Linked DNA regions of Mus musculus: all the other regions are reported to be linked to region 4. Evidence: microRNA targets listed by miRTarBase, many of them from high-throughput screens and not tested one by one. Region 4 holds a microRNA gene; each other region holds the end of a gene's coding sequence.
The links. Region 4 holds the annotated microRNA mmu-miR-3064-5p (UCUGGCUGUUGUGGUGUGCAAA, at 5,170-5,191, opposite strand). A microRNA usually pairs through its seed, bases 2 to 8, with sites in the 3' UTR of a target mRNA and lowers its output. Matches are read on the target gene's strand: a 7mer-m8 pairs with bases 2 to 8, a 7mer-A1 pairs with bases 2 to 7 and ends in A, and an 8mer does both.

Region 1 (7,100 bases), not on the chromosome of region 4:
CTTCAGATGCACCAGAAGAGGGCATCAGACCCCATTACAGATGGTTGTGAGCCACCATGTGGTTGCTGGGATTTAAACTCAGGACCTCTGGAAGAGCAGTCAGTGCTCTTAACCACTGAGCCATCTCTCCAGCCCTGCGGGCAAGCATATTTATAGAATGAGTTATCTCTGCAGCTCTTCTTCCTTTCTTCTCCCCCTTCCGGGAATGTTATTTGTCATTTAATGGCAATGATGTTGTCACTGTGTGCTCTCCACTGCACTCTTTTGCTCTCATGATGACTCTGTGGGGCCCAAGCTGCCACGTCCTTACAGCCTGTTACGTTAGCTTTCCCCAGGGAGGTATGAGCACACACGTCTGTCTGCCTACCTAAGGAAGACATAGCACCTGCAGCAAACCAAAGACCTGAGCTTGGTGAACCCATCAGTTTAATTAGTCAGCCAACAGGAGTGTGGGCAGGTCCCCGATGCCTCCAGTAAGCATTAATGGCTTACATATCCCCAGGGAGGGAAGGACCCTGCACTGCCCCTCCCAAGAAGGCTTGTGAGTGCTCCTCCCTTCCCTGAGGGGCCTTGAGGAGCAGCTACGCCTGAGTGAGCTCCACATGCAGATGAGAAGGCAGGTCTAGAGAGGGCCAGCCATTTGCCCAAAGCCCCACAGTGCCTTCTTTCTCATCTCTCCCATCCCAACACCACTGCAGTAAACACTGTGCGGATGCCTCTCCACTCATCCTAGCCTCTGAGAGTCCACTGTCCCAGCACGTGAAGTGCCGACGGCACAATACACTCCAAAACCCAGCTATTCTTTTGTTAGCGTTTTCCTAAATTTGTCATGTGTCAAAATTTAATTTTTACAATTATTCTGTAAGACTATGTTATTCCTATCTATGTTCAGTGCAGTCATTCCTCAGTGACCCAAAGAACTGTCCCCAGGGTCTAGGAAGGGAACCCCAGGTACAAAAATACAAATGACATAGGTTTTGTAAATAACCTATGTAAGAAACCCTCTTGCACCTTTGAAACACGTCTATAATCCATAATGTGTAAGTGGTATATAAACAGTTGTACTGTGTTATTTAGGAAGTAATGGAAAAGGTCTAATATACTCATTCAGTCTAAGCTCCACCCCACAGTTACCTGGCAACAGCAGGTGCCTGACTCACTGTAACAGGGGCTGCTCTGCTCTCTCTAGCTCTTGCCTTCTTGCTCCTACTCTGTCGGCTCGCCCCCTTCCCTCCTCCCTTCCTCCTCGTGCTCATGGGGCTGGCCTCTACTCTTCTCTCTCAGTCTCTCTTTCTCTGTCTCTACCACCCTCTCAGCTTCCCTTGCCATGCCCTGAATAATCTCTATTCTATACTATGTGTGGCTGGTCCCTCAGGGGGCAGGGATGACTCAGCATGGGCCAGCTGAGGCACCCCCTCCCCTCTTACCTGACTACACCTCTGCAAAACATGTTCCTCCTTTCTTTATCTTTTTTTTATAAAACACAACACTCAGTACTGATCAATTTCTTTTTTTTCAAGTGTTTCTTTTCTTTCTTTCTTTCTTTCTTTTTTTTTTTTTTTTTTTTTTTTTTGAGACAGTCTCACTATGTAAGCCTGGCTATCCAGGTACTTGCTAGATAGACCGGGCTGGCATAGACTTAACAGAAATATGCCTGCCTCTATCTTCCAAGTTCTGAGACTAAAAACCTACCCCATTCAACGATCTCTGATGTGTACGGTGGTGTACATGCATGTATGATCTCAACCTGGAGGATGGACAGTTCTGGGCCAGTCTGGGGGATGTAGAGTTCAAGGTCAATAAGAACTATTATGAGATGTCTCAAAATATCCAGAAGTAACATTTACCTTCCCATAAGGGATGGCTGAGTTTATGGATAAGAACTCCGTAGGCACGGGGACAGATGAGAGAAGTCAGGCTGAGTTCAGTGAGCTCACACAGCTTTAGTGTACAGTGGGTTGGCTCTGGAGCCAGATCTTAGAGTAATTCCTTGGCTCCCTTCAAGCTGAGCGCTCTTCCCTGATTCTCTTCCCATCTGCTGTAGTCACTCTCTGGCTGGGGATGTAGCTCACCAGTACAGCACAGCGCCTACCTAGCTGGCCTGACAGGTTTGCCCCCAGTGCTGCCAATGCTAACTAGGGCATGGGGGGAGATAATATACTCACTCGCTGCTTTCAACTCTTTGAAGATGTGTTTATTCTTATGTATATATGTATCTGAGTGAGTGTATGCCATGTGTGTTCAGGAGCCCAAGGAAGCTAAAAAGAATGTCAGAGTCCCTGGGGTTGGAGTTACCAGAGGTCTTAAGCTGCCCAACAAGGGTGCTTGGAACCACATAGACCACTGGAAGAGCAGTAAACACTTTTTGTTGTTTATAAAAAGATAAAGAGGGAATTGGTGGAAGTGTGGTTAAGGTATGGGGGAAGGGGGTACCTCAGCTGGCCCATGCTGAGGCATCCCTTCCCCCTGAGGGAACAGCCACACAGTATAGTAGAGAATAGTTTATTCAGAGCCTGGGGAGGGGAGTTAAGGGGGTAGTAGAGGGGGCTGGAGAGATGGCTCAGCGGTTAAGAACACTGACTGCTCTTCCAGAGGTCCTGAGTTCAATTCCCAGCAACCACATGGTGGCTCACAACCATTTGTAATAGGATCCTACGTCCTCTTCTGGTGTGTCTGAAGACAGCGACAGTGTATTCACATACATAAAATAAATAAGATCTTTGAGGGGGAAAAAAAGAGAGAGGGTAGGAGAGACAGAGAAAGGCAGGGAGAGAGGGGGAGGGGTGGGGGGAGGGATGTGGGGGGAGGGGCTAGAGAACAGAGGGAGCAAGAAGGCAGGAGCAAGAGACAGTGGGGGGCCAGGCGGTGAGCAGCCCCTTTTATAGTGAGTCAGGCACACCTGGCTGTTGCCAGGTCACTGTGGGGTGGAGCCTAGACAGAATGCTAACACTTTTAACCACTGAGCTATTTCTCTAGGCCATGGAGTTTAAGAGTGTTTGTGTTCCTATGTGCAATGTGCTCAGGAGTGCAGGTTGTCAAGGTTTCCTGGTGTTGTCTCTGCTGGAGCTACAGTGATAGGGTCTTGTACTTGGGTCCCCTACAAAAACAGGACTTGGGGCTCTTAACCACCGAGACATCTTTCCAGTTCTTTTTGTTTTGTTTTGTTTTGAGACATGGCCTCACTACGTAGCCCTGGATGTCCTGGAAATCACTCTGTAGACCAGGATAGCCTCCAATTCACAGAGATCCCCCCTACCTCTGCCTCCCGAGTCCTAGGATTGAAGGTGTGCACCACAGTAGGCTTAGATTTCACAATCTTCCTGCTCCATCTCACAAGGGCAGGGACTGCACGTGTGCACCACACCATCTTCAAATTAAAACTTTAATTCATCCTCGTTATAAAAAAAATTTAAGTAGAAAGATAGCAAAACATGTCCTTTATGCCTCAGAATTTGCTACTTCTGGGCCAGCACTCAGAGGGCTCAGTGGGGGAAGGGACTTGTCCTCAGGCCTGACATGCCCAGTTTTAAGGACAGCATAATAAAGAACTAAGACTCAACAAGAGGGCAATGCTGACTTCCACGTGGGCTATAGGATGTTCATGTTCACACACACTCACACACACACACACACACACACTAAAATGTTGCTTTTTAAAGAATTTACCACTTCCCTAATGAATGCTCCGGTGCACTGGCCAGCAACACTTGAGGACAGGAGGCGTGGCTAGGCCTGCCTTAGTCCAAAACAGGCATTAATAAACAACTGGTGAAAAGAATCCTTTTAAAAACTTAAGCCTCCACACTTTACATTTTTAGACCCAGACTTCCGCTGCCCCACCCCAGTGGGACTACTAGAGACCCGCCAAAGCTTCCCCTTTTCCCACCTCCATTAAAGAACAAAAAGACATCCACTTCTGGGTCCTCAGAGTGTCTGGTTTGTATTTTAGCAGGGTCTTGGAAGGAAATGACTTTTCTCTGAAACCGTGGCCGCCCCACCCAGCTGTGGCATTCTTAGACCTCGGGGAAACAGGAAGCTCCGGCCTTGGGCCCTTCACGGTCCTCCTTCAGACTATTAAAGACTGTTAATAGGCCGGTAAAGGGACAGCTGCTGGTCATAAAGTCAGCCCGCTCCTTACAAGCTGAGCCGTGAGCCTCCCAGGCCAGAAGCCCGGCCTTCTCCAGGTGTGCTTACCTAGCCGGGGTGCCCAGGTGTAGGGTTTCTTCAGTGATGGCTCTAGGGACAAAACAGGGGAGACTGAAGCTGCTCTGTAGGGGGTGAGTCACCTCTCCCAGGAGAGGAACAATCACTTCTGGTTACCCTCCAAACGGAGGCAAAGTGGAGCAGAGAGGGAGACCAAAGGATCCCGGCTCCTCCCACGCACTTTTTTTTTTTTGGAGGGGGAGGGGGAGTCCTAGGATTTGCAGCTGCTGGGGAAGAGGCTGCAGTCTGCCAGCTGGAGGGACACACTAGGGGAGAGGTGTTGTCTTTTGCCAAGAAGGGCACTTGGTGTCTTGGCAGAAGGCAGAGGGCTGCCCCAATCTGTGTGTACATTTTCAGTAGCATTTGACTCTGGACCAAATGCTTGGCTGTGCTAGTGCTGTGGTGCTGGGTGGGAATGCTCGTTGGCCAGGCTGGCTGGAGGCTCCCACAGAGGGTGCTGGGCCTGGGCCAGGAGCTTCCCTTCAGCTGGCAAGTTGAGCTTTCTGTCACGGTCGGAGGGAGTGTGTCCAAATTCCAACTCCGAGCTTTCCAGAAGCCACTGCTGACTGCCATCTGTTTTGAAGAATGCTGCTTATTGGAATTTTTGGCCCAATGGGGAGTAAGGATGGTGACACCGAGCCAAAGTTACCTGGCTCAAGAATGCACAAACGCTGCGCAGCAGGGACACTGTCTTTCATTTATACAGGGTCTTATTCTGTAGCTGCCCTCAAGCTCACCTCAAGCCTCAGCATCCTGGAGTCATCCTTCCTCAGGGGCAGGGTTACTCTTAGTAACCACAGGGAGCCAGGAAGCAGGGCAGATGCTACAGTAGACAACCTTGGACTGACTTAGCTACAAGGTTCCCCCATCAAGGCTGTGGGGTAGGTGCCTCTGACTCATGCAAGTGTGATCTTTGAGAATGGAAAACCAGTCACCCTGGGTTACCCTTTTCCACCAGGTGTCATTACTCTCCACGACAGCTTCTATTCCGAGTTGTTCCCAGAGGTGGGGGGGAGGCTGTTTCCAATTGATCAAAGGAGGACTTTCCCATTAGACCACTTGTGAGCCTCCATTTATCTTTTGTTTAAGGTAGCCTCAAGATTTAAGGCCTAAATCACACCCCAGGGAAGAAGTCTCCTCCTTAATTTCAGAGAAGGCAAAAGCTCTGAAGGTGGCTTTAGATCATACAGCTGGAAAGTGAGGAATGGGAGCCAAGATTCAGACCCTGTGCTCTGATCCAAGTGGTGTTTATTACTGAAATTAGGGCCTCGTGTGCTTTACTACGGAGTTCTAGCCTCAACCCTCTATAATTTATAGAAACTAGTTCGGCAGAGGTAGGAGGATCTCTGAGTTCAAAACCAGCCAGATCTACATAGCAAGCAAGTTCTAGGACAGTCAGAGTTACACAGAGGGACCTTGTCTTAGCTCCCCTGACTACCCCTCCTCCAGAAAAAGGTAATTCATTGCAAAAGGAGTATTTAGATTTTCACAGTCTGTAGGATAGACACAGACACACACACACCAGTATCATAAAGAAAACTTCAGGGAGCTGGAGAGATGGCTCAGTGGTTAAGAGCACTGGCTGCTCTTCCAGAGGTCCTGAGTTCAATTCCCAGCAGCCACATGGTGGCTCACAACCATCTGCAATGGGATCTGATGCCCTCTTCTGGTGTGTCTGAAGACAGCTAGTGTACTCATATATAATATAATACATCTTTAAAAAAAAAAAAAAAGAAAACAACCACCTTCAGAAACCTCTCACTTAGAGCAGGCTGTCTGTCCCCTCTTCCTTCTGTCACTACACTGCACTGACTCCACCATCCTGAGTGGGGCAGGCTGTTGGCCTGTGCTTTGATCAAACATTTAAATTTATCCACCAGGCCAGGCAGGGGTGGCTCACACTCAGTGGTGGGCCTAGTACTCAAGAGGCAGAGGCAGATGAATCTCTGAGTTCAAGGCCAGCCTGGTCTACATAAACTTGGTCTACAGAGTGAGTTCCAGGACAACCAGGGCAATGTAGAGAAACCAACCTTCTCTCAAAAAACAAGAAGACAGACTTACACGTGGATCAGTAGTAGGTTTAAGATTGCCTAGTACTTGTGGACTAGGGAGATCTGAGACCCCTGCACTGAGCACTGAAGTTACTCCCCTACACCTGCCCCGCCCAGGATGAGAAGGGGCGCCTGTGCTCCCATTTTCCCTTCTTAGCTGGCCCCCAGAGAGACCCAGAGATCCTACTGCACAGTGCTCTCCGGAGTGTGCGGGCTGTCCCAGCCAGGGTGTCGTCTTAGAGCTTTCATTCCTTGACACTCCAGGTCAAGTCCAAGGCAGGAAGTTGCAATGGAGAATTAGTCCCAGAAGCCAGTAGGTCAGGAAGTAGACCAGAACGCATCTTGTGACTGGAGAGCATCTCTTCCAATCGTAGAAGAGTTTCATGAGACAGTTTCTGGGGGCCTTCTGTCCTGGTGGGGACTTCTCCTGAGGAAGCTTCCCAGGCTCTGTGTCCACACACCTCAGCAGCGGTTCTTGATCCTGAAGCAGGTGAGCTGGAAACCAGTACATGATAGGAGTGGAAGAGGCCAAAAACCGCGTGAGAACCTAGAAAAGCCATGTTGGTTGGAGCATCAGTGATGTGGCTGGGTCAATCATGGCCTGACAACGAACAACATCCCACTGGGAAAGCAAGTTCAGCAAAAGCTGCAGATCTGCCTAATACCGAGAATGTTATTAATCTGCCGATGCCAGACAAACCTCGTGTTCCCAACAACCAGTCTCAGTGGAATTACCACACTAACGGGCCAACCAATACTAAAAGGTCTCTCTGAGGTCTAATTTTACCCACAGTCTCTACATTTTAGTCTGCTTTGGAAGTAGGAACCTGGAGGCTCCTTATCAGA
Region 2 (7,117 bases), not on the chromosome of region 4:
ATAAGTAAAAATAAATTGTAAAGAACATTTGAGGTGCAAGAACAAATGACAGTGACTTCTACAAGAAATGCAGCTCTGGTCTGTTGGGTTGAAGACAGCCAGACAACTGGGGTTGTTGGCTCGAATGTCCTGGTTTCGTCTCAGGGAAGGCAAAGGAAGGATTTCCACCTCAGATAGACACAGCCAGATTGCACAGTAAGGAAGGATGGAGCCAGTCCACTGTAGAGGGGCTAAGCAGAGGGACTCTGGTTTTGGTGTCTGTCAGTTCTGGATTCTAGTCCTAGCTCTGTCTTTTAGTTGTATAACACAAAGCATTTATACAAACAGGACACAATTTCTTCTCTTACAAAGCTTTTGTGAAGTCAAGAGAAGAGAGATTTCTTTTTTTTTTAATTTTATTTATTTTATGTATATAAGTACACTGTCACTGTCTTCAGACACTCCAGAAGAGGGCATCGGATCCCATTACAGATGTTTGTGAGCCACCATGTGGTTGCTGGGAATTGAACTCGGGACCTCTGGAAGAGCAGTCAGTGCTCTTAACTGCTGAGCCATCTCTCCAGCCTGAGAAGAGAGATTTCTACCAAGACCAGCAGAGCATGTTAGTTCTTTGGCCTCTGTTAGTGTGAGGTCTTCACTCAGAGTACCAGAAACAAAAGGCGAGCTGAGCTCTGTGAGCAGCGGGTGCCCAGCTGGCCACCTGAGCCCATCAGACCTGCGGCCCTCATCAGTGCTCACATCCAGGGCTCCACAGAATCCAGTTTCAAGTACAACAGGCCAAGTCTTTAGGTCACCCCTTTTCTACTCCCTGTCTATCCTCCCAGGAACGCCTGTACCCACAAGCACGTTGCTTTCCACTTACTTCTCTATGTTGGGGATGATGTCCTTGTATTCTTTGATGAACGCAGAGGAGGGTGGTTCATCGTCCTGCTTGGGTTGGACTGTCAAATACAGGATAGAAAATACTCAGCGTGAACTCCCATCCTCCCAGGCTCCATCCCTCTCACTCACTCCCCGAATCTGTGGCAAGTACCTAAGGGTTTAAGGGTCTCAAACTAGGTTAGCTCAGTTTCTCTTTTGCAAGCCTTGTGGGCACCTGCATGTTGCATGCTGCAAACAAGGGGCCTTTCTCAAGACATCCACTGTGCCTGCAACACAAACCGACTTGGCTCTACAGTTATCAGATTCCTCACTGGGATCGGTTCTCCCGTGGACAGGAGTGAGTTTGGCTTCTCTTTAACTCCTCGATTCCCCAGCCTAGTCCATAGTCTAGTCTAGAAGTAGCACTTTAACAAAGCTTGCTGGTTGACCACATGAATGAAGTACAGGGTGAGAGGAAGTGCTGCTAGCTTTAAGGGAATGTCAATAGCCAGTTCGCATCACTAAAAGCTCGGCTTCTGTGTGTGCATTCCTACTATGTCACTGGAAGTGAGGTTGAAGCCTGTAGTCCAACCCAGTCCAGCGCAACCAAGATAATCTATCCTCTCAAGCCAGACTCTGTCCTGCCACTATGCAAAGGACACTAGAAGCAATAAAGACTATGATATCACAGTTTATTGTGCACGGGGTTAAGGGTGCTTTTCATACCGCTGCCATGATTGAATCCTATTAACTGTGTTCCAATGGATCCTTTGACACTCATTTCAGCGCTGGTTCACAAAAAAAGCAAACTTGCCTCAAATAGTATGTGTTTGTTAGAGGGCCCTAAGGCATGCTAACTTAGGATGGGAAACTTCATCCTTCCTCTCAGAATAGCAGATAAAAAGTGTTACATTCCTAGAATTGTAACTCTTGCTAGTGTTGCCAGCCACACACTCATTGGGTCCAGCCAAGCTGGACTGGGTTGGACCTCGGGCTTCGACCTCACTCTCATCTGACACAGTAGGGATGCACACAACGAGGCGGAGCTTTTGGTGATCTGTATTGTCAAATGAGTGAGTGCTTTCACGCGAAAGCTCTTACTTCTACCTTCTCGTGCACCCCTAAACAATGAATGTGGGGGGGTCTTGGCCTGTCCCTTTGCGCGCCACCTCTGTTCCCTTGTCCACCCCAAGCCTTCCAGGCGGCCTCAAGTCTCAACAACCCAAGTCCTCGTACCTGGTTTCTGGACGGCGGCGTATGCTCGCGCGGCGCGCAGTAGACCTACGCAGAATAGAAAGGGCTGAGACTCTGCCATACACAGCCCCTCATGTCCCTTCTCCCACGAACTGTAGGCACCTGCACCTAACTACCGCCTCACTTCCCTATCTCCCTCCTCATCACCCCTTCCCTAGCCATCACCCTCTTTCTCATCCTGTCACTGCCTTTCTCGGGTCTCCGGGTGCCTGGTCTCCTCCATCTTCGCCCAGTCCCTTGGGACCCAGCTCGGCGGCTCACTCGGAGGCTGCAGGCCACAGCGCGCAGAGAGCAGACTGGCGCTACTTCCGCCCCTCAGCGCAGGGACTGGGGCCCGTGTCACCGCCTGGGCACGAACAGAGCTCAGCGCACGCCACGCGGCCCGCAGCATGTTGACTCCCGACTCGACGGGGGGCCCGCACCGCCACTGCCCGCTCCGCGGTGGATCCAGGTTACATGGGCGCAGCCATGACGGTTCGGGCTCGACCAATCGAGGTGAGAGCGCGACAAGAGCTGCCGAGGGCTGAGCGAATGGATCGGTTCCGGATTGTCAGGGAGCTGGGGCGGAGCCCAGGAATTTGGCCTGGTGGGCGGGCCTGTTTCTACGCTTACAGGCCCGGAGCACTGTGTGAACGCTATAATGTCACCTATTGACCTTGCATCCGGCCTAATCACTTTCTAAATTCCTTATGTTCCTGACCTGGTCCTCAGTTCTCAACCTGTTGGTCAAGACACATGGGGGGTGAAGGTTGTTGAGCGACCTATTCATAGGGGTCACACATCAGATATCTTGCATATCAGATATTTATATCACAATTCATAATAGTAGCAAAATTGCAGTTATGAACTAGCAACGGAAATAATTTTATTAGAGGTCTTCACAACATGAAGAACTGTATTAAAGTATCTCTGCATTAGGAAGGTTGAGAACCATTGCCTGGGGCTGGAGAAATGGCTCAGCGGTTAAGAGCACTGACTGCTCTTCCTAAGGTCCTGAGTTCAAATCCCAGCAACCACATGGTGGCTCATAACCACCTGTAATGGGATCTGATGCCCTGTTCTGGAGTGTCTGAAGACAGCTACAGTGTACTTACATATAACAATAAATAAATCTAAAAAAAAAAAAAGACTCACAACCATCTGTTCAGCTACAGTGTACTCATATACATAAAATAAAATAAATCTTTAATTAAAAAAAAAAAAGAGAACCATTGTCTTAGGTCCTAGTTATTTTAGGGCTTCTGTGGGACTCTCCTTACCTTCTCCAGAGGCTAATATTCTTTCTTGGCCCTCCTCCAGACACCGGGGCCCTGTAAGAACCCTCAGGTTCTAGCCTTCTTTCGTTGGCTTGTATCTCAGTGACTAAGGATAGAGTTTTTGGTAGGGTACTGAGCCATTACTATGAGACCCTGTGGGCAAAGTCTACCTTTATGGGCTGCAGTGTTCTCAAAACATCAAATGAGATTGGTAGCAATGTCTTTTACATTGTTCAGCCTATAGACCGAAGCAGCTGTATACAAAACACATGTTTAAATAGTCAGTATTCGGTACTCAGCTGTGGTAAAACTGAAATGAGGGATGCAAGGGCAAATATAAAGGAAAAGTAGTGGGGAGGGTAAAGAGAGGGGCAAGGAAAGAACACACCATCCCAAGCCTGAGATCAGGGCCGGGGAAAGTAGACCCAAGACAGGCAAGGCTTTTGTGGAAAGGTCTCCATTAGCACAGGGAATAATCCTGACAAATGTGGTTACATGAAACTCAAATGACATTAGGCAACTGAAGATGTGGTTTGGTTAGCAGAGTCCCTGCCTAGAATGCACAGTCCTGGGTTGGATTCCCAGTGGTACGTAAAAACTGGGTGTAGTGGCATATGCCTGTGACCCCAGGACTTTGGAATGGAAGGCAAGAGGATTAAAAGTTGTTCGAGGTCATCCTTGGTTGCATAGCTGGTTTGAGCCCAGACTGGGCTACATAAGACCCTGTCTCAAAAAGGGGAGGGGCAGGGGAGATGGTTCAGTTGGTAGAGTGCCCACTGTGTAAGCATAAACATCCAAGTTCAGATCCCAGCAGCTGCGTGTACAGTACAGGGGCTCGGGGAAGTTGAGTAGGTGATCCCTGGAGCTCATTGGCTCCTTGGATAGCTGAATCCAGGAGCTCCAGGTTAGCCAGGTGGTGGTGGCGCACGCCTTTAGTCCCAGTACTCGGGAAGCAGAGGCAGGCAGATTTCTGAGTTCGAGGCCAGCCTGGTCTACAAAGTGAGTTCCAGGATAGCCCTCTTCCAGCCTCCGTGATAACAGACATACAGGTGAGGCACAGATATGCACGCAAGCAAAACACTCAGACATGTAAAATAAAATAAAATCTGACCGATGAAGGAAGGAAGGAAGGAAGGAAGGAAGGAAGGAAGGAAGGGAGGAGATAAATGATTCTGAGAAATACCTTCTTGACTGTTGGGCCCTGAAAGTGAAAGCCACTTCCTGGTGGTGGTGCACACCTTTATTCCCAGCATTTAAGGCAGAGGCAGGTGGATCTTGAGGCCAGCCTGATCTATAGAGTAAGTTCCAGGATAGGTTGGGCTGTTACACAGAGAAACCCTGTCTTGAAAAACAAATAAACTGGACTGAAGAGATGGCTCAGCGGGTAGGAGCACTGACTGCTCTTCCAAAGGTCCTAAATTCAAATCCCAGCAACCACATGGTGGTTCACAACCACCAGTATTGAGATCTGATGCCCTCTTCTGGTGTGTCTGAAGACAGCAACATTGTACTTATTTATAATACATAAAAAGAAAAACAAGCAAGCAGAGACAAAAAACAAACAAGGGTAGAAGACACTTAAGCTATGCTCAAGAGATTCTTTTCTGGGACCAATAAGATGCCTCCATGGGTAACGCGGTGCTTGTCACTAAGCTTTGAGTCCACTTCTCAAGATCCACATGCTGGAGACCAGAGTTAATTCCCACAAGGTAGGTGTCTTCTGACCTCTGCCTCTGAATCCCCACTCCCCACAAAACAAGTACATGTCATAAAAAAAACTTTATTTATTCAGCTTTTGCTTAATTTTTTTTTTCAAGACAGGGTTTCTCTGTATAGCCCTGGCTGTCCTGGAACTCACTTTGTAGACCAGGCTGGCCTCGAACTCAGAAATCTACCTGCCTCTGCCTCCCGAGTGCTGGGATTAAAGGCATGCACCACCACACCCAGCATAATTTTTGAGATTGGATCTCACTATGTAGGCTAGCCCAGGCTGGCCTGGAACTTGCAATCTTCCTGCATCTTCCTCCCAGATGTTGGGATGCTAGGCATGTACCACCACGTCCAGCCAGAATTTCTGAAAATACCAGCCCCAACTCAAAACCTACAATCAGTTCAATGGACTGAAATTATATGAAAGACGAATGGTGACCATTGGGCTGTAAGCAGTATCTATCTGAACCTTAGAGTGTGAGAGTGGGTGACCTCAGGGTATAGCCTGAGAAGCTCAGAGTAGAGGAGAGGTGCTAGGGGCCAGAGACAGAGACACACTGGGCCTTTCTGCTTCTCTCAGGGCCAGTAGATTTCAGCGGAGGGCTCTTCTCCTCTGAATAGGGCAGGGTCTTCAAGATACAAGGACCCCCAAAGTTCTAGAAACCCCCTTGTTCTTCAACTCCATGGACCTGGAGCCCCTGAAAGAGGGGAAAATCAAATGGAGGCCCAAAGACACAGTCATCTTCCTGGTTTGGAGGTTGGGGCACAAAGGTCTCCTGGGGTCTTGAATGGAACCAGATGTTTTCATAAGATTTAGGGCTAGGGGTGGGGCCCCCCAAGAGGGGCTGAGTGGAGTCAGAGCGAATGTACTGCATTACTCCTGGGCTGGTGGGGCTCTCAAGCACCTGACCATAGAGGACCTGGTCACCAGTGCGAGAGGGAGGCTGGGACTGGTTGGAAATTTCTCTTGGATCTCCTTGGAGCACATAGGCCTGAACCAGGGCTGGAAGGCTACCATTCCCAGAGCTTTCGGAATCCCAGTGGGTCGGTTTCTTGTCTTCCTCCAGTTCAGTGATCTTGGTGATTGATGGCACGCTGGAGTCCCAGAAGCTGGGTAACTGGAAGGTTTCCTGAACACAGGGATATACACAATACGGCATGGTTTGTCTCACATGTCTGCTCCACACATCGTTCCTTCCAGAGATGAGGTAGTTATGGCATCTCCCTTGTTGCTATGTGGCAGAGCACAAAGGGACATACTTGCCTGGCAGCTGTCCATTCCTACCATGTCCCTGACACATGACCCCCAGCCCAACCCACCCTCTGCCACCCACGCATCCATTGTGTAGTGAGGTGACCAATCTTGGAGAGTCAAACTCAGGCCTACATCTCTCCAAAGCAGAATGTGTGTGTGTGTCTGGTTGGAAGTGGGGCTCAGGTGTGTGTTCCTTTAATGACGCTGCCTTGTCTGCCAGTCACAGTTTATACACCTCTCTGCCTCATGATTACCTCTGTCATGATGGTGGGCAACCAGGAGCTCAGGCTACTGTGGGCTGGGTCTGGCACATCTGACCAGAAGGAAGTCTTTCCTCTGCAGAAGGAGACAAGTGAAGTTTGGGTCAGCTTGCCATCTGGCAGCTGAAGAGGGGAAGAGATGTTAGGACAGACCTCCCAGATTGGGGCCCGGAAGTCTGGGAAGGCAGGAAGGGACTTCCGCACCCATGGGTAAAAGGAAGCCACTCACCTGCGTTTGCAGCAGAGCCAGGTCACTACACAGGTAGTGGACAAGAGTACTAAGCAAAGTATGCCCAGGAAAATGTTTAAGTCAGATGGATCTGGGGTGAGAGACAGAAAGCAAGAAGAGTTTAGGGTGTGGCTTTTCCACTGTGGGTCATGAACTCAGTGGTGCTGAATGTGGAGAGAGTCAAATGTTGGCAGGTTGAAAGGTTCCTAAAGAATAACATCTAAAGCCGGGCGTGGTGGCGCACGCCTTTAGTCCCAGCACTCAGGAGGCAGAGGCAGGCGGATTTCTGAGT
Region 3 (7,117 bases), not on the chromosome of region 4:
ATCCCAGGAGGCTACAGATCCTTGTGGCTGTGGTAAAGTACCAGACTCGTCTGAAGGAGCCCCGCCATGGTCTCTGCTCCTCCTGGCTAGCATCCCTGAATCCTGGGCAAGGTAAATCCATAGTTCTGGGGCTCGGGGTTGGGAGAGAGTATAGCCTCAAGTGCCCATCTTCCCCTGTTCCTGCTACCCCAGGAGCTCAAGCACTTAGCACCTTAGCACTGTCTTTTGACCTCCTACATGCCATTTCCCTTCTGCAGCAGGACCTGTCCGGGTGCCTCTGTGGGTACGTCCTGGGAGCCTCGTGTTCCCAAAAACACCAGACACACCCATTATCATGGTGGGGGCTGGAACTGGTGTGGCCCCCTTCCGAGCAGCCATTCAGGAACGAGTGGCTCATGGCCAAACTGGTGAGTACTGGAGCTCCAAAGCAGTGTGACCTGACCACTGAGCCTGGTCTAGCTGAATTTCTGCATCCAGACGGGGACCGCCCTATGTACCCCAGGAAACTTCTTGTTCTTTGGCTGCCGCCAGCGGGATCAGGACTTCTACTGGCAGACTGAATGGCAGAAGCTAGAGCAGAAGGGCTGGCTGACCCTGGTTACAGCCTTCTCCCGGGAGCAGGTGAGTATATTCAAGTTAGATAGGACAGGAGTTGGGATGGCTGAAACTTAGCCTCTGACACCTGCAGGAGCAGAAGGTATATGTGCAGCACCGGCTTCGAGAGCTGGGGCCACTTGTCTGGGAGCTGCTGGATGGCCAAGGTGCCTACTTCTACCTAGCAGGGTGAGCAAACTTGGGAATGTCGGGGGGTGGACCAGCCTTTAGGGAAGGGTAGTAGTAAGGGTTGGGAATCGGGATCACTGAGCTTTCTGAGGCCTGCCTTTCCAGCAATGCTAAATATTTGCCTACGGATGTTTCGGAAGCCCTTATGTCCATTTTTCAAGAAGAAGGACGACTCTCCACTGCAGATGCATCTGCCTACCTTGCTAGGCTCCAGCAGACACTGCGCTTCCAGACTGAAACCTGGGCCTGAGGAGCCACTTGCTAGCTCACACTCACATTAACAGCTGCATTGGGTAGCCTGCTGGAGTCTAGAAGGCCCATTGTTACCTCTTGCCTTCTAATCCCAGAACACTGGGTAGACCCACAGTTTCGCTTTTTTGGTCCAGCTGACCAGGAGGGCAGTCCTTGCGTACAGCCAAACTCAGTGGAACCCAGTGTCCCATACGTAGGCCCAGCCCCGGTGCAGCTAGAACTCCTGGTTTTCTCTCAGACCCCTTCATTCTGCCCCAAATCTGCATTTATAGTCCCTACCACCAAGGGCCTGCTAAGCCCTCCAAAGGACATAGAGCTGTGCGGGCTGCACTGCCCGTCTGACCCCGTGCTATTCCCATTAGTCCCATAACACCTGTGCAGCTCAGCTCAGTTGAAAAGCCACCAGGGACCAAGTCTCCTGAGCATTGGGAATGGGCAAATCTGTCTGTCTGCAGGTCCATAAACATGAGTTAACTGCCTGGGTAGCCGCTCACTTCTCTTTTATTGCTTCTAGATTTGAGAGTGGTGGTTGGGACATGGATTATCTGCATCTGCTAGTGGTGGGCAAAGAGCCCTCCAGGGCATGAGCACAGGCTTGTACTGACAGTTTAGCCAAGCTAGTCCCCTTCTCTGATGGCCACACAACTCAGCCAAGCTCATATACCCTTCTCTCATGGCCAAGCAGAGAGGGCTTAGAGAGCTATTTATTTGGAAGTCCCAGCCAAGAGCCAGCATGCACTATTCTTTCCAAAGAACTGAAAGAATGATCAGGTGGAGGGGGTGTGATTTGTGTTGGCCCGCCCATGGGCAGGGCCTCCACTGCTGGGAAGGAAACCCTGTTGGAGCAGTCAGACAGGTCCAAGGGCAGCTGGGCGCTAAGGAACCTCGGTTCTGTCTGTCAGCTTGTGGAAAACAGGGACCAGACCAACACCACTCTTAGGCCTCAGATACCAAGAGTTGACATGCTGCGGGGACCCAAGTGAAGCTTACTTCCAGTGAGGTCAGCAAGCCGAAAGGGTTATCTAGAGGTTAGTGCTCAGGTGGATGGGTGGAGGCCAAGCTCTGCCTGGCTCCTGAGGGCCACACCTTCATATCTACAACAATCCCTGCAGTCATCCTGGAGTCTCCGTCTACGCATCCTGACCTCTGTTCTAGTGGTAACCTGGGACCTAATGACACCAGCTCTGTGTCTACTAGTTCACCCGGTGCTTCTCTGGGTCCTGAGCTCTTGGACCCACTGTGCCAGCTACCAGCAGATGGAGAGGATGATCTCAGGGCCCCTCTGGGTGCCAGAACTCCAGACAGTAAACCGGAACTGGAGGCCAGAGACCCATCCGCTGCCAGGGCCCTGGAGTCAACTGTGGAAGAGCAGGAAGGTGAGGGGCAGGTTGTGGAGGAGGAGGAATGTCCCATCTGTGCTGAGCCTTATGGGCCTAGTGAGCACCACCTGACCCTGCTAAACTGTGGTCACAGCCTGTGTGTGGGCTGCCTACACCAGCTGTTAGGCATGACCCCCAGAGCTGACCTGGGCCGTGTGTGCTGTCCACTGTGTCGTCAGAAGACACCTATGCTAGAGTGGGAGATCTGTCAGCTGCAGGAGGAACTGCTTCGAGCTGATGGACCCCAGCGCCCAATGCGGACTGCATCCGTCACAGCCCTGCATCCTGGCCCTTGGCCCTGGGGTCCCTTAGAGCACCGCTACCAGCTGCGCTTCCTGGCAGGGCCTGTGGGAGGGCGAAGCTGTCTCCCCTTCCTGCCCTGCCCTCCCAGCCTAGGCACCTGGTTGTGGGCACTACGGGAACGTGGCCCCTGTGCCCGCCGCTTGTCACTGCTGAGCCTACTGGTCCTTGAACTGCTCGGGCTGGTGGTCATCTTCATGCCGCTCCTTTTACTAGGGGTGCTCTTCATGCTGCTAGACCGTTCCACCCACTAAGCAGAGCCCAGAATGCTGGCCAAGCTTTGAAGTCCATGCACGCTTGGATTCTGGTAATCAGCAAAGACTTGTTATCACCAATACCAAGACTATACATGCCTAAGAGCCTACGCCAGCCAGAGTGCTTACACACCCTTGCAGCCTAGATATTAGCTAAAGCCAAGGACACAAGGACAGCCTCTGAAGGAGCTTGGCCTGGCAGAAAGAGTTGTGAAAAGAACCCTATGTGCTTGCCATGGGCGGTCATCTCACTGGCCACAGGCAGAAGCTGGGCTATACCGCCAGCTCGTAGTCCAGCTGGTGAGAGTGGACACAAATGTGTGATTCCAACAGTGATTCTGTTTATCCTGAGATCTGTTCATTGGAGAAGGCAAGGGCTGCAGACTCTCACCTGCACCAGACAGAAGCTGGTGTGTGTCCTGAAGGCAACAGCAGCAGCCACAGTAACTACCAGGAGAGGCCTGCACTGCACAAGCCAGCCTTCAAAAGCTCCCACCCAACCTAAGCTACTCTCACCAGAGAAGGTAGCCCAGAGGAGCTGGGATCAATATTGCCTTTGTTTTGCAAGGGCCCATCCAGACCCTGAAGCCTCCAAATGCCCAAGGTCTAGCTCTGTTCCTAGTTGACTCTGCAATTCATGTCACTGGACCAGGAGCCCTCACTTGGGAGATGCAGACAAATCTAAGCTCACTTCATGGCTCATTGGTGACACAATGTAAGGTGTAACATTTCAGGCTGAGTCCTATATAACAAGCATAAGAAAGGCTCTCAGACCAGGCAGTGGTGGCGCACACCTTTGATCGCAGCACTTGGGAGGCAGAGGCAGGTGGATTTCTGAGTTCCAGGCCAGCCTGGTCTACAGAGCGAGTTCCAGGAGGACAGCCAGGGCTACACAGAGACACCCTGTCTCCCAAAAAAAAAAAAAAGTTCTCAATAAACAGTTGTTACTGATTCTATCATTACCTCTGCCATCCTCATTATTACTCCATCTCTGCCATCCAGGCACTCTCCTCACAACCCTTCAATGGTACCTGTTCCAGTCATAGGCAGATCATTTAAAAGACTGCTGGGTCCTTGGTCGTAGCCAACTGTAAGCCTCTACATATGCTGTCCAGAGGCTGTTTCCATACATCCTTGGCCAGAAGAAAAGTACGTGGGTTTTTTGGACAGGATCTCTTTGTGCAACCCATGCCGACTTCACAACCCTCCTGCTTTAGCTTCCAGTGTGCTGGGACTACCAATGAACTTCACCACACACAGCTAAAAGTTCTGTCTCCCTAGCTGGGCCCCATCTCCATGTACCAGTGTGTTCCCAGCTAGTCCAGACCTCCTAAGCAGTACACTCGGGCCAGCTTGCCCTTCCACAAGCAGAGCAAGCCAACCTTGAATGGAGCTGGTTCACCCTCTGGCAGCTCCTGGTTAGACCATGTTGGACTATAGCCTTGGGAACCTACCCTAGGTCCAGGCATGGGCATAGCCCACAGGAGTTAGCTTCAATCAGTGAACAAGTGCAAACTTTGGCAAAGAGTTTTAATGGCAAAGTTGGCTGCAGCGACAATGCCACGCAGGGTAGGGCCAGAAGCCACAGTGGGCAAGAAAGGGTCAGCGGGCAACAGGACAAAGCCAGTTCCCTGAAGAAGCGGCGAGCAAGGACCTGCAGGCAGTAGTGGGCAGGTGGACACTACATGATGGAACAGGCAGATAGTGGGTTCCGCACATGGCAGGTGCATGCAGCTCCACAGTACTGCCGGAAGGTCTGGTAGCAGCTGCCTTCAGATTCACCCCCCCACTGTCCACCGGATGGGGCAGTCAGGGCTTCAGGTGGCAAGCGGCTCAGGATGGATGTGTTGACAGCCAGTGCAGCCAGGCCATAGTCAGTGAAGAGCACAGTCTCACGGTGGCAGGTGGGACAGGAGATGAACTTGTACTTAGGGCAAGACTCATAAAGAATCTGCAGGCACTGCTCACACACGGAGTGCAGGCAAGACAGCACACGGGGCCGCCGTTGAGTGACGTTGTATGTATGCCCACAGGTGGGGCATTCCAGGGGCTCACCTGCTATCACTGGCCCAGACGATGAAGGTGCAGAGGCTGTTGGGCCAGGTCGAATCACATACTGATTTACAATGACCTCATCCACTGGTGCCACCCGGGGGAAGCCCAACTCAGAACTGCCTTTGCGGGGCCGCCTTGGCAAGGGTGGAGTGTGGGATGCTCCTTCCAAGGTAGGCATGTCCCCCCCACATGCCTGGTTGACAATGATCTCTGTGTCTGAGGGCCAAGCACGCTTGGGTGCCAGAGTGGGAGTGGGCCTGGGTGCAGGAGGGAAGCAGGGGGTGGCCGCCGGGAGCTCAGGGAACTTTTCAGGGTGGACAATCTTCATGGCCTCCATTTTGAGGATGACATGGGGGCCTTTCAGGCAGGACATGAGGAGGCCCGGCCATCCACTGCCCACCTCAGGCCCAGGGTCAGCTGGCATCCGGCTCTCTACAGTCAGACTGGACGTTGGCACAGGTGGGGGTGTTGGGTGGGGCCGTGGGGGAAGAGAAGGGGCTGCATCCTGGTCCTGCCAGGCCTGGTGAGGACCACGGTTACTCTGTGGACTGCAAGGGGCAGCCGGTGACAGCTTGGAGGGCAACCCCCCTCCCAGTGGCCACAATGGCTTATCTGATTCAGTCCGAAGAGGAGGAGGAAGAGGAGGGGGAGGGGGAAGCAGGCGGGGACAAGGGGGTATGGGTGGCTGTTTGGGGCTCTGGAGCTCACCCAGGGTCTCTGTCTGCTGAAGCTGGCAAGGGGGCGTGGAGGGGCCTCCTCCTGTAGCAGAGGTCAGCAGTCCCTGGGCCGGGACATCTGGGCAGGCAGGGGCTAGGTGGGCCCCATGGCTCCAGGACAGGGCGCCCAGGGAAGGCAGCTAGCCTGATCCCTGGCTGCCAGAGGACCTGGGCTGAAGGCTCCGCGGCAACAGCAATGGAGAGGCCTGCACCAGGCCTGAGCTGCGGGTGAGAGACAGCGTGAGGGCAGCACGGGGCCCACCTCACTCTCGCCCTTGCCCTCGCCCCCATCCTTCACAAAGGACAGAGTGCCCGACCTCTGACCCTGACCTCATCCGTGGGATCTCCACGGAACTCTGAACGCAACCCCCTCCCCAGTATACTCTCCGAGACCGGACTCACTGTCCGGAGGACTGACTATGAAAATGGAAAGGGGTGATGTCTCTGGCCCCCGCCCCTCCCCCTCCCACCCCCGCTCACCTGCCCCAGCCTGGCGTTCCCCGGCTGCGCCGCCGCCGCAGCAGAGGTTGTCTCAAAGGCAGGCCCGGATGCGGCGCTCACACCTTGCTCTAGTGACTCCGATAGCTCCCGCGGCTCCAGTGGAGACCTCGGGCGATGGCGGGCGCAGACAGCACCCAGGGCGCGAGCGCTGGTGCTGGACGCAAGGCTCGGCGTGGTGGCGGCGACAGCGGCGACGGCGGCGGCGGCAGGTGCGTGCGGAGCGTGGCGCGCTCTGCGGCGGAGGCGCGGGGACCGCAGTGCGCGCGGCGCCCGCCCGCGCCCGCAGCGCCACCCCCTGTCTGGGGACCCGCGCGGGGTCCACGGGGCGGGGCCAGTCTCCTAGCCGCCCCTCGATCTACGCCTGGTCTGGCGTCGGCTCCCAGTGTCGACCTCCCAGCTAGCTACCGGCTGGTCAGAATCCCCGTGCCGACAAGATTCCCTTGCCTCTTGGCTCATCCCCCGAGGGGCCAAACCCTCCCCCCCCCCCAAATTTTGTAAGGGAAATCTTCATGTTTTACTCCCTCATTTTGAGCCTCACAATGCCGAGCAGGGGTTCCAGCGTTCCACTTGTGTCTCAGCTACCTTTCGAGCTCTGAAAGGGCAGGGTCCTTTAACTTCAAACCCCGACACACCCCCTGTGTGAACGCCGGGAGTTTTCCAATTCACTGACGTATCCACACAAGGATTCGTCAAAGAGGGAGTTGGGACAGCAAAAGGGACAAGGGTTTGAGTGGATACCAGAAGAGTGGTCACAGGGAACTGGGGCAGTCACAGGAAGCTCAGAAGTTTCATGGACTGGAGATGGAGAGTTGGAAATACCAGGTATAGGTTGGCAGTCCGCGTGTAGGGTGGAGGGCCCACAGTGCACACTCACCTG
Region 4 (7,112 bases):
AAGAAACAAACCGATCATATAAATCTATTTCACTTAGGGAAACCAGCAGTGAACTCTGAGCCCAGCACTTGGTATCCTGGTACTCAGGGGTGGAGGCAAGAGGACTCTGACACTTTGAAGCAAGCCTGGGCTACAGACTGATTTCAAGGTAAACTTGAGATAAAGAAATCAGGTTCTCAAAAGAAGAAACAAAAGAACAGTCCAGTATCTTCAGAGAGAGAAAGAAAAAAACCAAGTGTGGGGCAGAGGCCAGCCTGGCCTACAAAGTGAGTTCCAGGACAGTCAGGGCTACAAAGAGAAACCCTGTCTCGAAAAACCAAAAAAAAAATCCTTAAACCTGGAAAGACATCTCAGCTGGTAGAAGCAGCTGCTGCTAAGCCTGAAGTCTTGAGTTCTATCCCCAGGACCCACACGATAGGAGGAGAGAACTGACTTCCATGTTATCCACACTGAACTCAAAATCTCATTTTCAGTCTGCAACTTTGATCTAAAAGACTGAGAGGTAAAAAACAGCTGATGTTTGGGGGACATGGTGAGACTGTTTAATCAATCAATACCAAGAATACAGGATAAAATATACTACAATCTAATTGCATTTATCACCGGCTTGCTTTATTTTGCTTTAAAAATTTAAGGTTACAGTATATACTAATTTTCACAAGCTTGGATTTGTAAGGTGTTGTTAGCTACTCCATACTGCTAAACGGCAGAGGCAGCATTTCCGAATTTGTTATATTTGACTTTAAAGATGTGTATCTCATCTTCTAGCTGACAAGCTAAAAAATTACCTGGCAAAAAACCCCACAAAAAAAAAAAAAACAAAACAAAGCAACAAACCAAAAACAAACAAACAAACAAAAAACACCAAGAAAAACCTGAGTTGCCAGGCAGTGGTGGCGCACGCCTTTAATCCTAGCACTTGGGAGGCAGAGGCAGGCAGATTTCCGAGTTCGAGGCCAGCCTGGTCTATAGAGTGAGTTCCAGGACAGCCAGGGCTACACAGGGAAACTCTGTCTCAAAAAAAAAAAAAAAAAAAAAAAAAAAAAGAAAAACCTGAGTTGATAATTGTATTTAAAACTGGAACAGAGGAAGTCTTTGAAAATGCCTTGGTATCAATGAAAGCATGTGACTGATTTATATAAGGTCCTACCTCTATAGTTTTAGGTTTGCTCGTCAAACTGAATGCTTTACAAATTTCTTCAGGAATGATGCCTCGGACCTTTGCCTCAAGGTGGATCACTCTGATGTTATTAAAAAAAAAAAAAAAAAAAAAAAAAGGAACCTGGTCACTTCTTTGCCTGGAAGCCTAGGGCCGTTGCTGTCTCCAAACTCGTGCAAGACTGCTTTTCCACCCCAAATCTGTTCAGAAGCACGAAACGCGAAGAGCCATACCGTGAAGAAGAGTCGCCCGTAGTTTCCCAGAAGTTTTTAATAAGTTCTCAAGAAATGCCACTAGCTGTTCCTTACTCGGCTCTCTGTCTTGCAAGATTTCGCGTATACTTTCTGGAGAGACTAACCTGAAGGCACTGTCCCTCGGCTGCGAAGAGCCCGGCTCCTGGTGGAGGGAGTCCACCGCGAAGACCTGCTCCCTGAACACCACCATAGAGGACCACCACTGTGAGGCTAGGTTCTTTCGTAACTCTACACCCAAAGGTCCAAAGCGCGCGTGGCACCCGCTCAGCAGAGCAGCCGTGCTGAGCTGCTGCGGCGTCCCGCTGAAAAAGTGCCTCCTCCGGCAGAGGTCTACCAGCGCCTCGCGGGCCACCGCATGCTCGGGGGCGTCAGGCTGCTGCGTCCCATCTGCGGGACCCGCGTACCCGGACAGCCAGCACCTGCAGGCCCTGCGGCAGGCCCTGGCGCCGCCACCGCAGCGCATCGCTTCAGGAGTCGGAACACCAGCACCTCCCGTGCAGAGCCGCAGTTTCAAACCTACACCAGCACCAGGGCCTGGGGTGCAGGCACAGCGGAAATGGACGTGCTGTAGACCACGCCCCCGGAAGAGCGTCACCCGCTGCTGAGCAGCAGCCGCCTTGGGCGTATCCCGGCCTCCGCGGCTGACGCCAGCGTCTGATTGTTTACTACCTTTGGGATTTTCCGTTTGGTAACTCCACCTGCCTCACATTCACTTGTTTAGCTTTTACCACAATCCTGTTACTATAGAGTTAGCATCAGGTTTTCCGAGCTGCCAAACAAAACGAAAAAAACCCCTTCCAAAATGTTGTCCTGGACGGTACTGATGTGAGGCTTAGCGTTCAGTCTCCAAGGGAATGTGTTGTGCACTTTTAGTTTATACTAATGCTGGCAAACATTATCACCAATGGCCACTCCACTCTCTCCCGGGTGTGGCTGGACAGACAGGGTGACCAGGTCTTAAAAAGGGCTTCGGGAATTTATTAACCACCTCCTTAAAAAGAATTTTTTTTTTTTTTTTTAAAGATTTGTGAGTTGCTGTCTTCAGACACACCAGAAGAGGCCATCACTACAGGTGGTTGTGAGGCACCGTATGGTTGCTGGAAGAGCAGTGCTCTTAACCTCTGTACTTCCCTTCTCGTAGAAATCAGTTAATACCTGACTAGGACAAAGGGGTGTTTTTGATACTGGAGTTTGATTATAAGGTGCAGGACTGTTGTGGTAGCTCACTCCTATGTTAACATATGCATAAGGGACAATCTCTGACTTCAAGGCCAGCTTGGCCTATGTATCAAATTCCAGGATAGCTGGAATGGGGAAGGCGGGGGTGCAAAAACCCAGGTAAGAGGCCTCTACGCGAATAAATAAATGAAGAGAATGGGGAGAAAAATCACATTTATTAGTTAAGACAACCACAGGCTGGACACAACACACATGCTAAAAAGTGGACTGTCTTTTAAAACTTCAAAGGTAATTTTTTCCAAGCCCCACAATCATTTCCATAATTATTTACAAAATAAAAGGTCCACATTAAGACATTGAACAGTAAAATATGTAATAAATGCTCCAATCTACACCTATACTTAAAAATCATGAATCTGACTAGCCATGCCATTGAAAACCACTCAGTACTAGAGGATGAACCAGTTTTCAATGTTATCAGCCCTGGAAAACACGCCCAGCTCCCACCCCCAGCACATTCTATTTTGTTTTAACATTTTATAAATAAGGCATTAACAATAAGCCCATTTTAAAAACAAAAAGTTAAATAACTTCCTTTAAGACTTTTGTCCTGGGCAAAAAACACACCAATTTTTTGGGAAGACATTTAGACCTACTTATAGCCATTCTGAAACAAAGCTGTTTGCTGGTGATCCTACTTAAATCTAAAGCTTTCCCCCCAATCCTTCTAGCTGTTAAGCCCATAGTGAACCTAACCCGAAAACTTTACTGTGCTTTTGGTTATGTCGTCTTCCTTGTGACTAGCCTACAAGACCCCTAAAATCCCCTGAAATAATGTGGAGACATTCCTGACTTCCAGGTGTGGCTATAAGCACTCTGGCAAGTCCTCGAGGACTAGGAACCTACAAGGTAATCCTGCACTAAAGACACAGTGCACACAGCTCTTGGGCTAACAGTCTTTCAGCTTCGCACATTTCGGCAGTTGACAACAAAACCAAGAGATGGAATAAAATTTTGATAAAGCAAAAATGTCATTACTTAAAACTGTTTTGCAAAAGAAATCAACATGTATTTATATAGTTACTGTCCTGTAGTTCACTCTTAAGGAAAATAGGCTATTAAATGACTTACTTCCCTGATACTGAAAAATGACAAAGCTTTTATCCAATAAATCTGGAATTATAAAATCCATTGTCTCTAACTTCTTCCCATACAAACAGATCATCCTAAGGGCCTTCTGAGTTCCTCTCCTAAATCCAGGAATGGGAAGTAGTCAACTTTCCTTGTGTAAAAATAAACACCAAAACAAAAATCCCCCCCAAAAACACTATCTAAGCCAAGTTGTACATGACATTATATATGTAAAATAAAGTACAATTTCACTTAATTCAGTCTTCAAATATCTTTTATTGGAAGGCCATGCATTGCCTTCATTTATTGTATTTGAAATCACTGTACAGTTACTTTTGTGAAAACACTGCCTGCATTTTCTAGTACAAAAAAAACCTAAAAATTGTTTCAGGAATGTAGAGAAATATCCAACTTAAATAGCGAAAAAAGTGCACCATAATTACTGCTGCACTGCAGTCATTTCTGCATTTCCCATGTTTCTTAAATAACTATCTTGTCTGATAACACACAATATAAAGAGCAATTATGAAAAACAGACATTTACATATACTTCTAAAGTCTTATTGAGAATACCCTGTTGGCATGGGATAGCCAATCATAGGCGCAGCAGCTGCGGTAGCAGGATATGCATATGCCTGTTGGTTCATACCATTGTGCATATTTGCAACATTACTTCCATATTGCTGAGTGCTATCATAACCGTTCTGGTAAGTCCCTGTTGGATTACCAGTCCTAAAACTGGTCTGTATGCCAGCAGATACAAAATTACTTCCAAAGCTCCCATTGGTGTAATTTGCAGCACTGTAAACACCATTCTGAGTTTTAGCCCCAAAATCTCTCTTAAGCAGATTAGAGTAGCCTCTGTCATAGTTTTCCCTGTCTCTAAAGGTATTAAATCCACCCCTTTTGCCTGCAGAGTATCTGTCACGACGATCGTCCTTCATGCCTCCTCTACCCCTGGAACGACCTGTCAAGAAAGTAAGTGGAAATTGATCAATTTTTATCTGTGGCATAAGTGTGGTAAGATAGGAGAGAGTTAGATAGCTCTATTTATGTTGGGTCTTAAGTGCTTTTAGATTCTTTAGGTTTCAAAATAAGAAGTACTCATTCTTCCGATCCCACTTTGTAGACAAGAGGTAACTGCCACCTACCAGAAACATCTCTTACGAAGATCCTTACCTGAACCTCTGTCTTCGACCAACTGAAGCAACTTGGGATTAATTGCTTGATTAGCTTCCCGAAGCACAGAGATAAGGTCGCTCACTTGCTTTATGTTATTAGGTGTAAAGAAAGTGTATGCTGTGCCTGTTTTGGTACTGCGAGCAGTTCTTCCAATTCGATGAATATAATCCTCTGAGGAGTTAGGGTAGTCATAATTGATGACAAATTTCACATCTTCCACATCTGTAAGGTGTTGCAGTGTGGCAAAATAGCAATGTACGGAGTTTTGCACACCACAACAGCCAGACCAAAAATAAAAAGTTAGACAATTGTATTCCCAAGAAGGTACGGGCTGAAAAAAATACAGTTAAAATGGTTATCCATTTCCTGTAGGAACACCATTGAGGTAGGAAAAAAGGGCAGGGTAGGAAAAAAAAAAAACCAAAACACCCAAAAAACAACAAAAAAATTTGCACATGTCAGCTGTCTTAACACCCACCCACTGACAGCCTATCAAGGGAATGTGTGTTCTCCTTAGCACATTCCCAAATTGACAGTCCCCTTACAGATCATCAAGTGACATCTGAATGCTTCTGCGCAGTAGGGCCAATTAAAAGTTTCTCAGCAATCTCTTCATGTGCTCATTTTTGAGGACCTTTTAACAAAAATGTAAAGGTCCTTTGCATTACACTCATCAGAAGTTCAAAACTCTGGCCACACTGCTTGTCTTGCCAAGACCTTACAACTGCAGCTGCAAGAAAAACATACCTGTCCCCCAAAAGTTGTTTTAATGCACTGTGTCTCGTCTAGGCAAGCGCTTCCAAGAAGCCAGGATTCACTTGAGAATGTGTCTCTCTCTGGCAGGTCTCGACATGACGACTACTGTGTAGGTGAGGGAGGAACTTTCAAGGCACTTTCTTTTCCCACTGACTATGTGTGAGAAGTTGGTCCTGCTCTAGGTCTCATGTGCCAGTACTCACCAATTTGTAAAAGGCTTTTAAAGCTGCTCTCTCCATTTCAAACTTGAACAAAAATTTCATTGAACATTGAAGTTTGGAAATATTTCTTCGACATTTCAGCAAACTCACTGAAACTCAAAGACCCACAGATCACAGTGAACAGTTTGAAACAATGCTGTACCATGGCAATCATGCAAAGCATGGGACAGATGAAATACCACGGCAGTGAACTGTGAGGTAACTTCCATTTTTTTCCCCCGGAGAGAACAGTTTATGGGGCAGAGGTGGTATGTTCTGCCCTTTGAAGATTACTGGCACACTTTCAGCTTTTCACCTCTCTAATCGACTGGAAGCAGCCAGCCGATCACTAGTCCTCCATCCCCCTCGAGTCCTCCGATTGTCATGCCTAGGCCTTGCCACAAAGACTGCACCTTTATGTGAAAAAAACTTAGAAAAAATGCAGGTTAAAGAAAGCAATAAACTTTCTTTAAAAAAAACTACATGGAGATCTTCTGGGAAACCAAGCCATGAATTCGAGTTTGTACTAACCTAGCCCTCTGGAGGCCACATCGGTAGCAATCAGAATAGGAGCTTTTCCATGTTTGAATTCTATAAAGACAACCATGAATAATCATTAATGCAAGCAAATGATGTTATCAAGCTACAAACTAATCTTATTTGAAATACATACCATTTAGAACCCAGTCACGTTCCTGCTGACTCTTGTCACCATGGATGCCCATGGCAGGCCACCTATACCAAGAATTAAATTATCAGTAGTATACCCAACTTAAAACTCTTGTCAAGACTCTACCAATATCTATTCCCACTGTACTTCATCTTGGCCAAGTGTTTTCCCACTAAGCATTGCAACCCAGAGCCTACTACAAGTCACTGGAACGAATCCATACAATTACCCCTATATCACAGCGCATGATTCCCAAAAAACACTAGCCCCAGATCAAAGTACTTTTAAGTCTGCTTTGACTCAGGAAACCACATACCCATCTCTCCTCATTTTTCTGGTAAGTTCATCACATCTTCTTTTGGTTTCAACAAAAACAATAGTTTTATTCTCCTTCTCACTCATGATTTCTTCCATCAGACGAATAAGCCTAAAGATGAAGAAAAACTCACCATTTTTAAAAGGATATAAAAACAAAACCAAACACAACCCTGATTTTTTGCTTAGTGAATCCAAATGTCAAACCCACTAAGCCACCACACATACAGATTTTCAGGTGTATCACTTTATGCGTGCTTGTGTAG

Region 1: the mRNA of Pigv is a reported target of mmu-miR-3064-5p. Seed matches in the 3' UTR shown: 7mer-m8 at 5,782-5,788.
Region 2: the mRNA of Csf3r is a reported target of mmu-miR-3064-5p. Seed matches in the 3' UTR shown: 7mer-m8 at 5,210-5,216.
Region 3: the mRNA of Ndor1 is a reported target of mmu-miR-3064-5p. Seed matches in the 3' UTR shown: 8mer at 3,082-3,089 and 7mer-m8 at 3,848-3,854.

What each region holds. Positions count from the first base shown.
Region 1 is chr4:133,655,991-133,663,090 of GRCm38, forward strand. Pigv (phosphatidylinositol glycan anchor biosynthesis, class V) reads right to left here. Exons shown (of 4, transcript NM_178698.5): 4 at 5,435-6,801. The coding sequence ends at 6,520. Among named protein-coding and RNA genes, the nearest start is that of Pigv, 13 kb to the right of the region's middle.
Region 2 is chr4:126,042,459-126,049,575 of GRCm38, reverse strand. It overlaps Csf3r (colony stimulating factor 3 receptor (granulocyte)), which reads right to left. Exons shown (of 17, transcript NM_007782.3): 15 at 6,826-6,916; 16 at 6,591-6,672; 17 at 4,601-6,211. The coding sequence ends at 5,738. Mrps15 (mitochondrial ribosomal protein S15) reads right to left here and starts at 2,648. Exons shown (of 8, transcript NM_025544.2): 1 at 2,377-2,648; 2 at 2,098-2,142; 3 at 863-941. The coding sequence starts at 2,506.
Region 3 is chr2:25,241,626-25,248,742 of GRCm38, reverse strand. Ndor1 (NADPH dependent diflavin oxidoreductase 1) reads left to right here. Exons shown (of 14, transcript NM_001082476.2): 10 at 1-111; 11 at 258-407; 12 at 503-621; 13 at 689-783; 14 at 889-3,930. The coding sequence ends at 1,033. Rnf208 (ring finger protein 208) reads right to left here and starts at 5,814. Exons shown (of 1, transcript NM_176834.2): 1 at 4,482-5,814. The coding sequence starts at 5,447. The coding sequence ends at 4,650.
Region 4 is chr11:106,777,567-106,784,678 of GRCm38, forward strand. Mir3064 (microRNA 3064) reads right to left here and starts at 5,193; the gene lies at 5,127-5,193. Polg2 (polymerase (DNA directed), gamma 2, accessory subunit) reads right to left here and starts at 1,971. Exons shown (of 8, transcript NM_015810.2): 1 at 1,393-1,971. The coding sequence starts at 1,876. Ddx5 (DEAD box helicase 5) reads right to left here. Exons shown (of 13, transcript NM_007840.3): 9 at 6,848-6,958; 10 at 6,535-6,596; 11 at 6,393-6,452; 12 at 4,903-5,127; 13 at 2,790-4,690. The coding sequence ends at 4,284.